Linked DNA regions of Schizosaccharomyces pombe. Changing the gene in region 1 together with any one later gene gives a genetic interaction. Each region holds a gene or a part of one and is shown on either strand. Other genes may lie near its edges. The genes, in order: rex2 and upf1.

The links.
Region 2: of rex2 (region 1) and upf1, a mutation in one rescues a mutant of the other (synthetic rescue), as found in Schizosaccharomyces pombe (one study listed by BioGRID).

The regions. Positions count from the first base shown.
Region 1 is NC_003423.3:4,071,808-4,076,372, forward strand, and holds rex2 (RNA exonuclease), read left to right. Parts: upstream 1-1,760; 5' UTR 1,761-1,783; coding exon 1,784-1,958; exon of another isoform or gene 1,959-2,063; coding exon 2,064-2,144; exon of another isoform or gene 2,145-2,225; coding exon 2,226-2,311; exon of another isoform or gene 2,312-2,430; coding exon 2,431-2,496; exon of another isoform or gene 2,497-2,558; coding exon 2,559-2,909; 3' UTR 2,910-3,032; coding exon of another isoform or gene 3,033-3,914; 3' UTR 3,915-3,954; downstream 3,955-4,565. Other genes in the region: serine/threonine protein kinase (CK1 family) Cki1, read right to left, coding at 1-1,118, 1,202-1,327; rnh202 (ribonuclease H2 complex subunit), read right to left, coding at 3,033-3,914. UniProt on the Schizosaccharomyces pombe protein: 3'-to-5' exoribonuclease specific for small oligoribonucleotides.
Region 2 is NC_003424.3:800,330-805,823, forward strand, and holds upf1 (ATP-dependent RNA helicase Upf1), read right to left. Parts: upstream 3,805-5,494; 5' UTR 3,759-3,804; coding exon 981-3,758; 3' UTR 812-980; downstream 1-811. Other genes in the region: Clr6 histone deacetylase-associated PHD protein-1 Cph1, read left to right, coding at 1-435; DYRK family protein kinase Pom2, read left to right, coding at 4,667-5,494. UniProt on the Schizosaccharomyces pombe protein: RNA-dependent helicase required for nonsense-mediated decay (NMD) of aberrant mRNAs containing premature stop codons and modulates the expression level of normal mRNAs. Also capable of unwinding double-stranded DNA and translocating on single-stranded DNA.

The DNA.
Region 1 (4,565 bases):
ACTTGCTCTCGGGTAACCCGTTCTTCAGAAGAATCATGAACATCAACGGGTGCTGGTTGATTAGTTGCTAAACCGGAACGATCAGGCACAGTTGTGGTAGCTTTCGTCTCCGTTGGCGGATTAGGTAAAGAATTTTGATTGGGTTCAGCAGAATCGCTTGCAGAATTCAGATGCGGCTCGGCAAAAGGCTTTTCATAATCAGAGCGTTTGGAAACTACGTTCTGAGTACTTGCATGATTTTGCAGGGCTGGTGACTTTGATTCCAATTTGGGTGCTGGTGGTTTGCTTGAACGTTGATTTTCTGTCTCTGCGTTTCGCGACTTCAAGCTTTGCCAACCTTTACCGTTATTCAATAGATTCCAGTCAAAATTTTCATCCTCAGTAGTATTTAATCGCTCTAGGACTTTCGAAAATAGGCCTTGCAAATAATCATAATCTGGAGTAGCATCGAATGCCAAATTACGAGCATAATGCATATACTTGTAGAATTCTTCCGGGAAACCAGCACACAACTCGCGTAACGGGGTACTTTGCTTTTTCTCACCAATTCGTTCATATTTTTGCTTATTGGTGGCAGCCTTCAATCCTTGCCAAGGTAGGCTACCTCTAAGAAAATACATGAATACATGACCCAAGGCTTCCAAATCGTCTCGACGGGATTGCTCCCGACCCAAATGAGTATTAATAGACATGTAACGAGCAGTACCCGAGAGGTTCTTTTTCTCCCGGTAAGGTATGTGCTGTTTGGTAACTGGATCACGATAAAATTTTACCATGCCAAAGTCTACTACGTAGATCATATTAGCATTTTTACTGTTTGGTCGACCGATCAAAAAATTATCAGGCTTAATGTCTCGATAAACGAGACTCTTCTCATGGATAGATTGCACTCTTGCCAACATCTGTTTTGCGGCCATAGCAACTGTTTTTACACTAAATTTACGGCCGCAGAGATCGAGCAAATCTTCTAAACTTGGCCCAAGAAGGTCAATCACCAAAATGTTATGTAACCCTTCTTGGCCAAAATAATAAACATTCGGAATACCCGTACATCCTGCCAGCAACTTGTAAGTACGGTATTCATCACGTAATTGAGGAGCATCACTGCGTCTTGGTTCCTATAAGCAAAATCAATCAGTAATGAAGGAAACAAGAAAAATATCCAGCTTCAAAGCATGGCATCAAATGGATTCTCACTTACAAATTTAATGGCTACTTGTTGATTATTCAACAAATTCGTCCCTTCAAAAATAACACCAAACGAGCCTTCGCCAATTCTTCTTCCAACTTTGTAGTGGACACCGACTACATTGTTTTGTCCACTCATTATCTTTGAACGATTTGTGCTGGAGATTTGTCAAATATGATGTCTCCGTTTTCCGCTATCGAATGCAAAAAACTAGGTTGTAAGCGATTCCTGTTTAAATACTTTTATGAATTAGATTGAATCACAAAGATCTCCTATACAAACCTTGAAATTACAACTATTCAAGCCGTTATTGAGAAAAGAGGTGGATGGTGTTGGAACGGATGTTTTTAGTGGTGCTTTAGTTACGGAAGTGTCATGTGCATCACTTCCCTCTATTCCTGCCTGATTAAGGGGTTAGGTAATGCTGTCTTTGGAATACAAACACTGTTTCAAAACGTTTAAATAAACATACTATTACTAGTTTTCATTGCAAAAATCAATCGATAGCTAAGTTTTTAATTTTAAAAAATCCCGGATATTAAAATCCAACTTACAACGAAGTACTTTCATTAAGTAATAATACCGTATTTTCATATGCAAGGTGCATTCTTAAATAATAGAATCATTTTGCAGTCATATCACATTAAAAAACGCTTGTATAGCAAACGCACTAGCTCGTTGCATTCGCGCTTCTTGCAGCCAACATATCGCAAAAATATTTGTCAAATTTCCAAACCCATTTTCCAGCAAGACTTATCAACGAATACGAGTATGTTTAGATTCAGTCTATCAAGTTATCATTTCTACAATTTACATGTTTAAGTTTCTTTTTGTCGATGTGTACCTCAGTTTTTAAACTTTTACTAATATAAAGATTTCATCTCAAAATTGAAAAGTCCATTCTCCAACCTCAAAATGTCGAATTTAAAGCAGCCCCTTGTTTGGATTGATTGCGGTTAGTGAGCTTTAGTATAATCTTAGCTTTTAAAATGCATTACGATGGTTTTATAGGTAACTTGTACTAATATGATTGAAGAGATGACCGGGTTAGAGGTGGGAAAGCATGTATTGATGGAGGTCGCGGCAATCATTACTGATGGAAATCTTCGCCCCGTTGAAGAGGTAACTTTTAATTGTGAACATTGAAACATCGGCTTTTAACTTGAGATGTTTCAAGAGAAACAAATGCATGGTTTCGAAGTTGAGCGTTTATTAAGGCTGTCATACTAACTAAGGCGTAGAAATTTGATGCTGTTATTAAACTCGACGAAAAGCAATTGAGTGAAATGAATGACTGGTGTATTGAGGTATCTTTTCTTGCTTTTAGTTCATTCACGGATGTCAATTTTCTAATTATACTAATAAACAGCAACATGGGAAAAGTGGTCTTACGGAAAGATGTAGACAGAGTAATTTAACAGTGAAAGACGTTGAAAACCAGTTGTTAGCATACATTAAAAAATACATTCCAAAAAAACGAGAAGCGTTAATCGCTGGAAACAGTGTCCATGCAGACGTAAGGTTTTTATCTGTCGAGATGCCAAAGATAATCGAACATTTGCATTACAGAATTATCGATGTTTCTACTATTAAGGAATTAGCCAAACGCTGGTGCCCGGATATTCCTGCTTATGATAAAAAGGGTGATCATCGCGCATTGTCGGATATTCTTGAAAGTATTGGTGAACTTCAACATTACCGCTCTTATTGGCTTTCTTGAAACATTGCTCAAGAAAGAAGAATTCCACTTTTACAGCAATTGACAATATCTTGTAAACATGCCAAAAAAATTAAGGGTACTATGCTAAGAAAAAAATAAAAGCAAAATCATACCTCGGTGATCTTACTTTTTTGTAAAGAATGAAGATATTTTCGTCATTCCTTCTCCTGAGAAGTATTTGGACTTCTTGGTGGCCTGCTTCCGATTGGGCTTTTTTAAAAGACTTGATGTAATATCACTGTTTTGTGGACGTTTTTTAGAATTTAACAAAGCTTCCTTTTCTACCAAAATCTTTCTTGATTCTTCTAAGTTTTTAGTGTAAGCGTGCAGTGGGGCCAATTCTTCCTGCCAGTAGGCTAATTTGTTATACCATTCAGGTTGAAGATCTTCACAAACCAATGAAGCGGCATGCCACTTGCATGACAATTCTAGTAAATCTTGTGGAAGCGGCGTGCGGAGGTCCAAAGGCGCTAACTGTTTTTTAAGTTCGGTTACAATACTAGGGGGAAGATTTTCTTGAGCAACCTTGGCTTTCCTTAGTAAAATTTTAACAACAGAAGATTCATCCAGTTGAAAGGTCTTGGGCAAAGATCCTACTGGCTCGTTTACTTTACAAATCCGATGTAATGTGTTCAACAAATTCGGAGAGAGGACTTCTGACACTCGTGGATAATGAGGACCCATATTATCAAAGTGTTCAATGAAGTCTTCAAACGAGACATATCGATTCGGTTCTTTCCGGCGACTCCAAGTAAGTTCCTGAATGATTGGAAGCACAAGCGCGAGTAAGTCTATCGGGGTGCAAACATAGAGATATCCGTCCGATACTACATGATCCCCTACAAACCAAGACCTTTGTTTTGAAGAATCCCCAACTTGAAGGATTTGTAAAAGGTGATCGTTTGTTAATAAATAACGAAGTGGTCTCCCGGTCAAGGGATGTGAGAGTTCAACAAATTGTTGATTTGTAGAATCTTTGGGTAGTATGAATATCTTTCCCTGCATTTTTTAAGTTTAAATTATGAAACCCCAAAATTTGTGAGGCAATCACGTCTGAAACTTCGTACCACTATTTGCAACAAAAGTAAAAAATGCAAAGATATCAATTGAAAACAACTCTGAGTACTTGCAAACACAATTTTTTAATTAGAAAGATTTCGTTGTGTAACTTTCAGCTAAAGATGAGTATTTTGTAAAAGTATTGACAACGATTTGGGTATATCAAAATTTAAAACAGTGACGACTCTAGTTGTACATATACGAAAGAAATTAAGCATATAAAATTGATTGTTCCTCTTAAGATAATCATGAAGTTGATATAAAAGATGGCTGAAGTAAGAGGAGATTCGTACCGACTTTTTGTTGTCTGTTCAAGACACGTTGTTAGTCAAGAACTCCATCTTTATAAGAAAGCAGTACAAAAAAATGAAATGCATATTCTTAAAAAAGAAATATAACAGTCGATGTTGAAGTCAAGAGCGGCAATCTTAGTTATGAGAAATTCAATGGTAAACCACGGTAGTGAATTGAATAGAAAGCTTGCGGCTTCAAGTACCAAAAAAAAACAGCATTGGTTAAATTGAAAAGCCAAAGTATAGATATCCTTAATAAACTAATAAAATAGACATTGAGTATTTTCTCATCTTAATAATTGCT
Region 2 (5,494 bases), on another chromosome or scaffold:
GACACCTTCTATCATAAAAATTGTAAAGAGCATGCTAAAAAATGCTCTCATGACTCCATTGGAAAAAAAGGTATGAGAGTACCAAAAAACGCCGTGGTGATAAGGACGCCCTTGGTGTTGGATACAACTTCTAATACTCTTAATCCTAAAGTCATGATTTCAGGATGGCAATTTCTTATGGGAGAGTTTCCAAGTGATGAACTTCTCTATTTCCCAAGATTACCCGTGAGTTGTCTCTACAAAGTTTCAGAAGACGGTCTCATCAAAGATTTTTTGTACGCGATTGGCATAGAAGCTAAAAAGTTTAATAATGAAAGGAAAAAACGAGAGTTAGAGGTTATTCCTCCAGACGTAAAAAGCGCACTACTTCCTGCGAGAACGCACCCAAACCTACCTATTGCACTACGCACTTTATTCAATAAGGCACGCACTTGAATTTTTACGATATTTTTACATTTTGTATAAAATCAGACTACGTTAATCTAATCTGTCGTGTTCAAATCGTCAGAAAAGGTTGTTTTCTGTTATTTTTTTGCTAATGTTGTATTTATAAAACCTCTTAGAACTGGCTATCTGTTGTAATTGGCTTATTTTACATTACTTTTCTCCATTAAGGCTTTTAAAAAATTTTCGTTATGCAATTAATCATTGCAAATCCTTCCTAATAGGGCAAAAGTTCTATTTTATACTAACAACTTCTCAATACTTAAATTTTATACGCGTATTGTACCGTGTGAGTATATATAAGTATATATAAGTATATATAAGTATATATGAGTAAGATGCATTTACTAGACAAAGAGGAATAAAATAAAAGAAAGTGATAAGGAAAGGTTCTATTACTAAAGTCTATTTAACAGCCATATCAATGGTTTAAAACGCTTACAGACCAAACGGTCCATAAAACTTGAACACCAAAAATATCAACAAATAAAAGATATGTTGGCATTCGTAATTACAAGTAAGCAAATACTTATTAACTAGAACCTAGTAGGTTCGTCGAACTTGCTTTCATCATCACCAACCTGACTTCTAAAGTCTTCAAAGTCGGTAGCGTTGCTTTCTCTTCGTTTGTATTGAGCAAAGACATTCCATTCTTCAAGATACGAGGAAGAGTATAAGTTCGGAAGATTAGAAAACGAAGGTAACATGGCAGAACCGGCATTCTGTATAGGAGATAGTGATCTTTGTACATTGAGGTCTCTTTTAAATTTTTGAGGTTTCTGAGGAGGAGTAAGGGTTAAGGAAAACTTTTGTAAGCTGTTCAAAGTGCCTTCAACTAAATATCCTTTTTCCTTGCAATGGAGGACAAAATGATACCATAAAGCATGTTTAGCAAGGACTTTTGGATTACCGAGAACAATTACACCATACTTTGCTCGAGTCAATGCAACGTTCAACCTTCTTGGATCGTTAACAAAACCAATACCTTGGTGTTCACTAGAACGTACACACGACAAAATAATGAAGTCCTTTTCTCTTCCTTGGAACGCATCCACCGATGCTACTTCAACAGCTTTATAAAGATCCTTCTGCATTGATCCGTTATTTTGCATGTACTGAACAATATAGGAACGCTGACCATCATATGGAGTAACAATACCAATTTGCTCAGGAAGCACGTTGCTTCTTAAAAATGTGGTAACAATTTTTTCACACGTTGAGGCTTCCGTTCTGTTTAAAAATGATGTACCGCTAGCCGACAGCTCTTCCTGACCGAAATTTGCATAAAACATTAATGGCGAATCAGGTTGTATCCATGGAAAATCAACATGTCTAGCAATACGCTCAGAAGTAGTGACACCATTTTGAAGAGTACCTTCATAAAAAGTGTTCGATGGAAATTCTGAAAGACAGGGATGCATACGATATTGCACAACTAATCTGAAAGGAGAGTTTCCTAATATAATCAGTCGCTCAAAAAGTGATTGGGAAAGGCTAGCTAATGCAACCTTTTTATTCATAACAACCGGTCCCAGTTGTTGGTGATCACCAACAAGTACTACTTGTTTGGCGCCTAAAACTAAAGGAATCATGCATTCAGGTTCTGAAGCCTGTGTAGCTTCGTCAATAAGTACTGAACGAAATTTGTACTTGGAAATCCTTCTATCACCAGCACCAACACAAGTACAACAAATGACATGAGCCGCACGTAATAGTTCTTTTTCGGCAGCAGCAACCAAAATACGCAGTTTTTTTTCATCCTGAATAGATAATTCGTTATTTTCACTTCGTAGCTTCAATAAACGTTGTAACTCTGGATTAAACTTATAGTTTTTAATTTGCTCATGAAGAGATAAAAAGGAAACCGATGATTCTATGTCTTCTCTAGACTTTGCGGCAACTCGAACGACACGAAGTCCTGTACGATGTATTTTTTCAGCAAGTTGGTCAACAGCAACATTCGAAGGTGCACAAACTAATACGGGAGAATGGGATTTACGCTTGCGTGATTGCATCGTGGCCAGGTGATAGACTACAGATGCTGAGGTGACAGTTTTTCCAGTACCTGGCGGCCCTTGAATTAACGAGAGTGGCTTACTTAATACTGCACGAACAGCTTCGCTCTGACTAGCATTCAATTTTGGCAGATTAGGCACCGATAAATCAGACGGTAATTTTGGTTTCAGGAAGGAAGGAGGGATATCGTGTCCTAGCAATTTATGATACAAAAAGCTTGAAAGACGTGATCCGTCTGTAGCAAATAACCTCAAAGCAGTCTGCATTCGATCAAATGAAGTAGATTTCCAAACATAATCGACGGAAAAATTATGAGTACATTCGATAGGTACTTTATCTGAACGCTTCAGTTCTAAACCTACCTCATCTGAAACGTTGTTAGGAATTTTAATAACATATCCTGTGGAGCTCCAGGGTGCTCTTAGTTCTCCTTCATATGTAAGCTTCATTTCATCTCCTATGGCCAACCGAATTTCACCAGATTCAAGTTTGGGAAGGAGAAACCAAGCAGTATATCGTTTATTGATAGCTTGATCCCACCGAACCACAACATCTTTTTGAGTCTGCGATTCTTTGAGTCGTTTATCATAGTCAGCCTCCGCTTGAATGAGCGGAGAAAGAACTGCTTGATACGCGTGAGCATCTTTATATCGAAGTTCTACTGAAGGTAATGAATCATCCTCAATGGGCTTATCCAAGTCTTCGAGGTTAGCATTAGGGTCTTTACGCCAAAGTTCTTCAAGCCTAACCATTTGCTGTGAAGTGATTGGGATTGCAAGCTTTTGTTCCTCTTCGGATGGAGGAGTTATCAACCATGGAAGAAACTGACGATCTGAAATAATGGGTTGCCATTGAGTCAAGTCCCAGTTCATATCCTTAGCTATGCTAGCTCTAGCACAAGGTTGTCGGCATAATAAAACAACCACTGTCTTAGCTTTTGCTGGTATAAATCCTAATAGAAACACATTTCTCGTTCCACAATTATAACACTCAAGTACTGTGTCTGAAAGAGAAGAATGGCTATGTAAAGCAACCTGCTTATGTCGAGCACGAACTAGGTGACTAATGATATGCGAAGCTCCAGATTTCCCTCTTACATTACAAAACCATTTATTACAATGCAAACATTTCAATATAGAATTTGGATTCTTTATGTGGCAATAGGCACAGTGTTCTTCAGAATATTGTTTTTCGACTAATAATTCTTCAAATTGATGCTCTAGTCCATTTTCAGAAGTCATATTTTTTGAACTAACTAAAGATGAAATATCATTATTAGGTTGTAGCCCTAAAGACATGGAAAGACAACTTGATATGTTATTAAGCCGTCAATTTGCAAAGTGTAAATAATTGTAACACATTTTTAGAAAGAAAGGTTAGTCATTTAGTGAGGTTTAATGAGTTAAAATGTGCTGCTAGGAAGCTCCCTAAAACGTAAACAAAAAACGCCGTTAATGGGAAAAACTAACAATAGCAAGACTCATTTACTTGTAAGATATTATATCTATTCAGGGTAGATAAATTTTGTCAGTTTCGAGATGATCATTTACGTTCTTGAAACAGCTGGTCGTACTATAGATTACTAAATAAGGTAGAGCACTGTAGTATTGTGACACAAATCGGTGCTCACTATTGGAATTAAACAAAATTATATAAACGGTTGCTGAGACCATGTAAACAATCATATTGAAGACTATTAATTTTTTGACTAACAGTTGTCGAAAAGTAATAAACAGATATTTTTAACTTAATATCGGACTCTATACAAATTTATTAACATGAGAGTTGTATCTACTCGCTCTGGAAGTTAGCATACCAAGTGTACCGTTACCCATTTTGAACTTTTCAAGGAGTGTGTTACTTCCACCTATACAACAACTGCCCGTGTGAAACTATCCAAATTGAAATAATTTTAAGAATTTCAGGCCTCTTAATTGTCTGAACTTCTTGGAGTTTATGTGGTGCTTAGCGGCAAACTCTTCATGAACTGAAGAGGCTTCAAAGAGGGGACTTCGAATGCTGCGTTTAACAAGTTGATTTACTTGTAAGTATTTGTTCTCCAAATCCGGGTTTAATTCCTTCTTTTAAAATTATTTTTCGTTTCACAACATTTCATTTTTCCCCACCCTGGTTTAAGCAGCTAGTGCCTTTAATTATTTGATTTTTCTACTTTCTTTACGTTAATCAACTTCGACAACAATTATAAATGGTGGGGTTAATAAGTACAAGCGAAACGCTGCCTAAACAGGAGAGTAAAAGTTCCTCAGCCCCAGTGTCTAATTTCCTTTCTCCTAATAATCTGACTGAACAGACATGCAGTCCTCTAAGAGCTCATTCTACTTTTAAAGAGCCCGTATTTCTGTTATCGCAACGCCAATATTCACACAATAGCAAAATACTTACAGAATTAATAAATAGTGTGAAAAGGCCTAACAAGCCCGATCAAAATGAAGAAAAATCGGCTGTTGGAATAGAAGAGAAGTCCTTTAAAGATGAACACTTGGCACAGAAAAAAGGATTGCATCATTTTGCAGATCTAAAAGAAATCTTTCTGAATAAAAATTTGAGTACTTTGGATGGTTTACAAGATGCATCGCTTCATGACAACATACAGAGTGGAAAATTAGACAACCCAGTTATATCTCAAAACCGTCGCATTGTACTAGAAAAGCTTGCTAATCCCAATTCCAGCAAAGAATATGAAACCATCCCTACAGTCGAAAACCGACATCCACTCAACAAATTAAGCAAGACAAAAACTTTAGCTTACGAAGAAACTATTAATCAGCTAGATGAAACCCCAGGAGGAACGAATTATCCCATGAACAAAAAAAAAACATTATCTTCTGAAACTAACAAATATGAATATCCACAACAATCGAAATTCCATGAATGTTCTCAATTTGCTTCACCACGGTCTTCTATAGTAAATGGACCCAGAACCCTCGGAAAAAATTCTAAAAGAGCTGATGATACTGCAAGAATGGCTTCGCGAATGAAACCATCCAATTTTAATAATAATATTCAGAGCAGT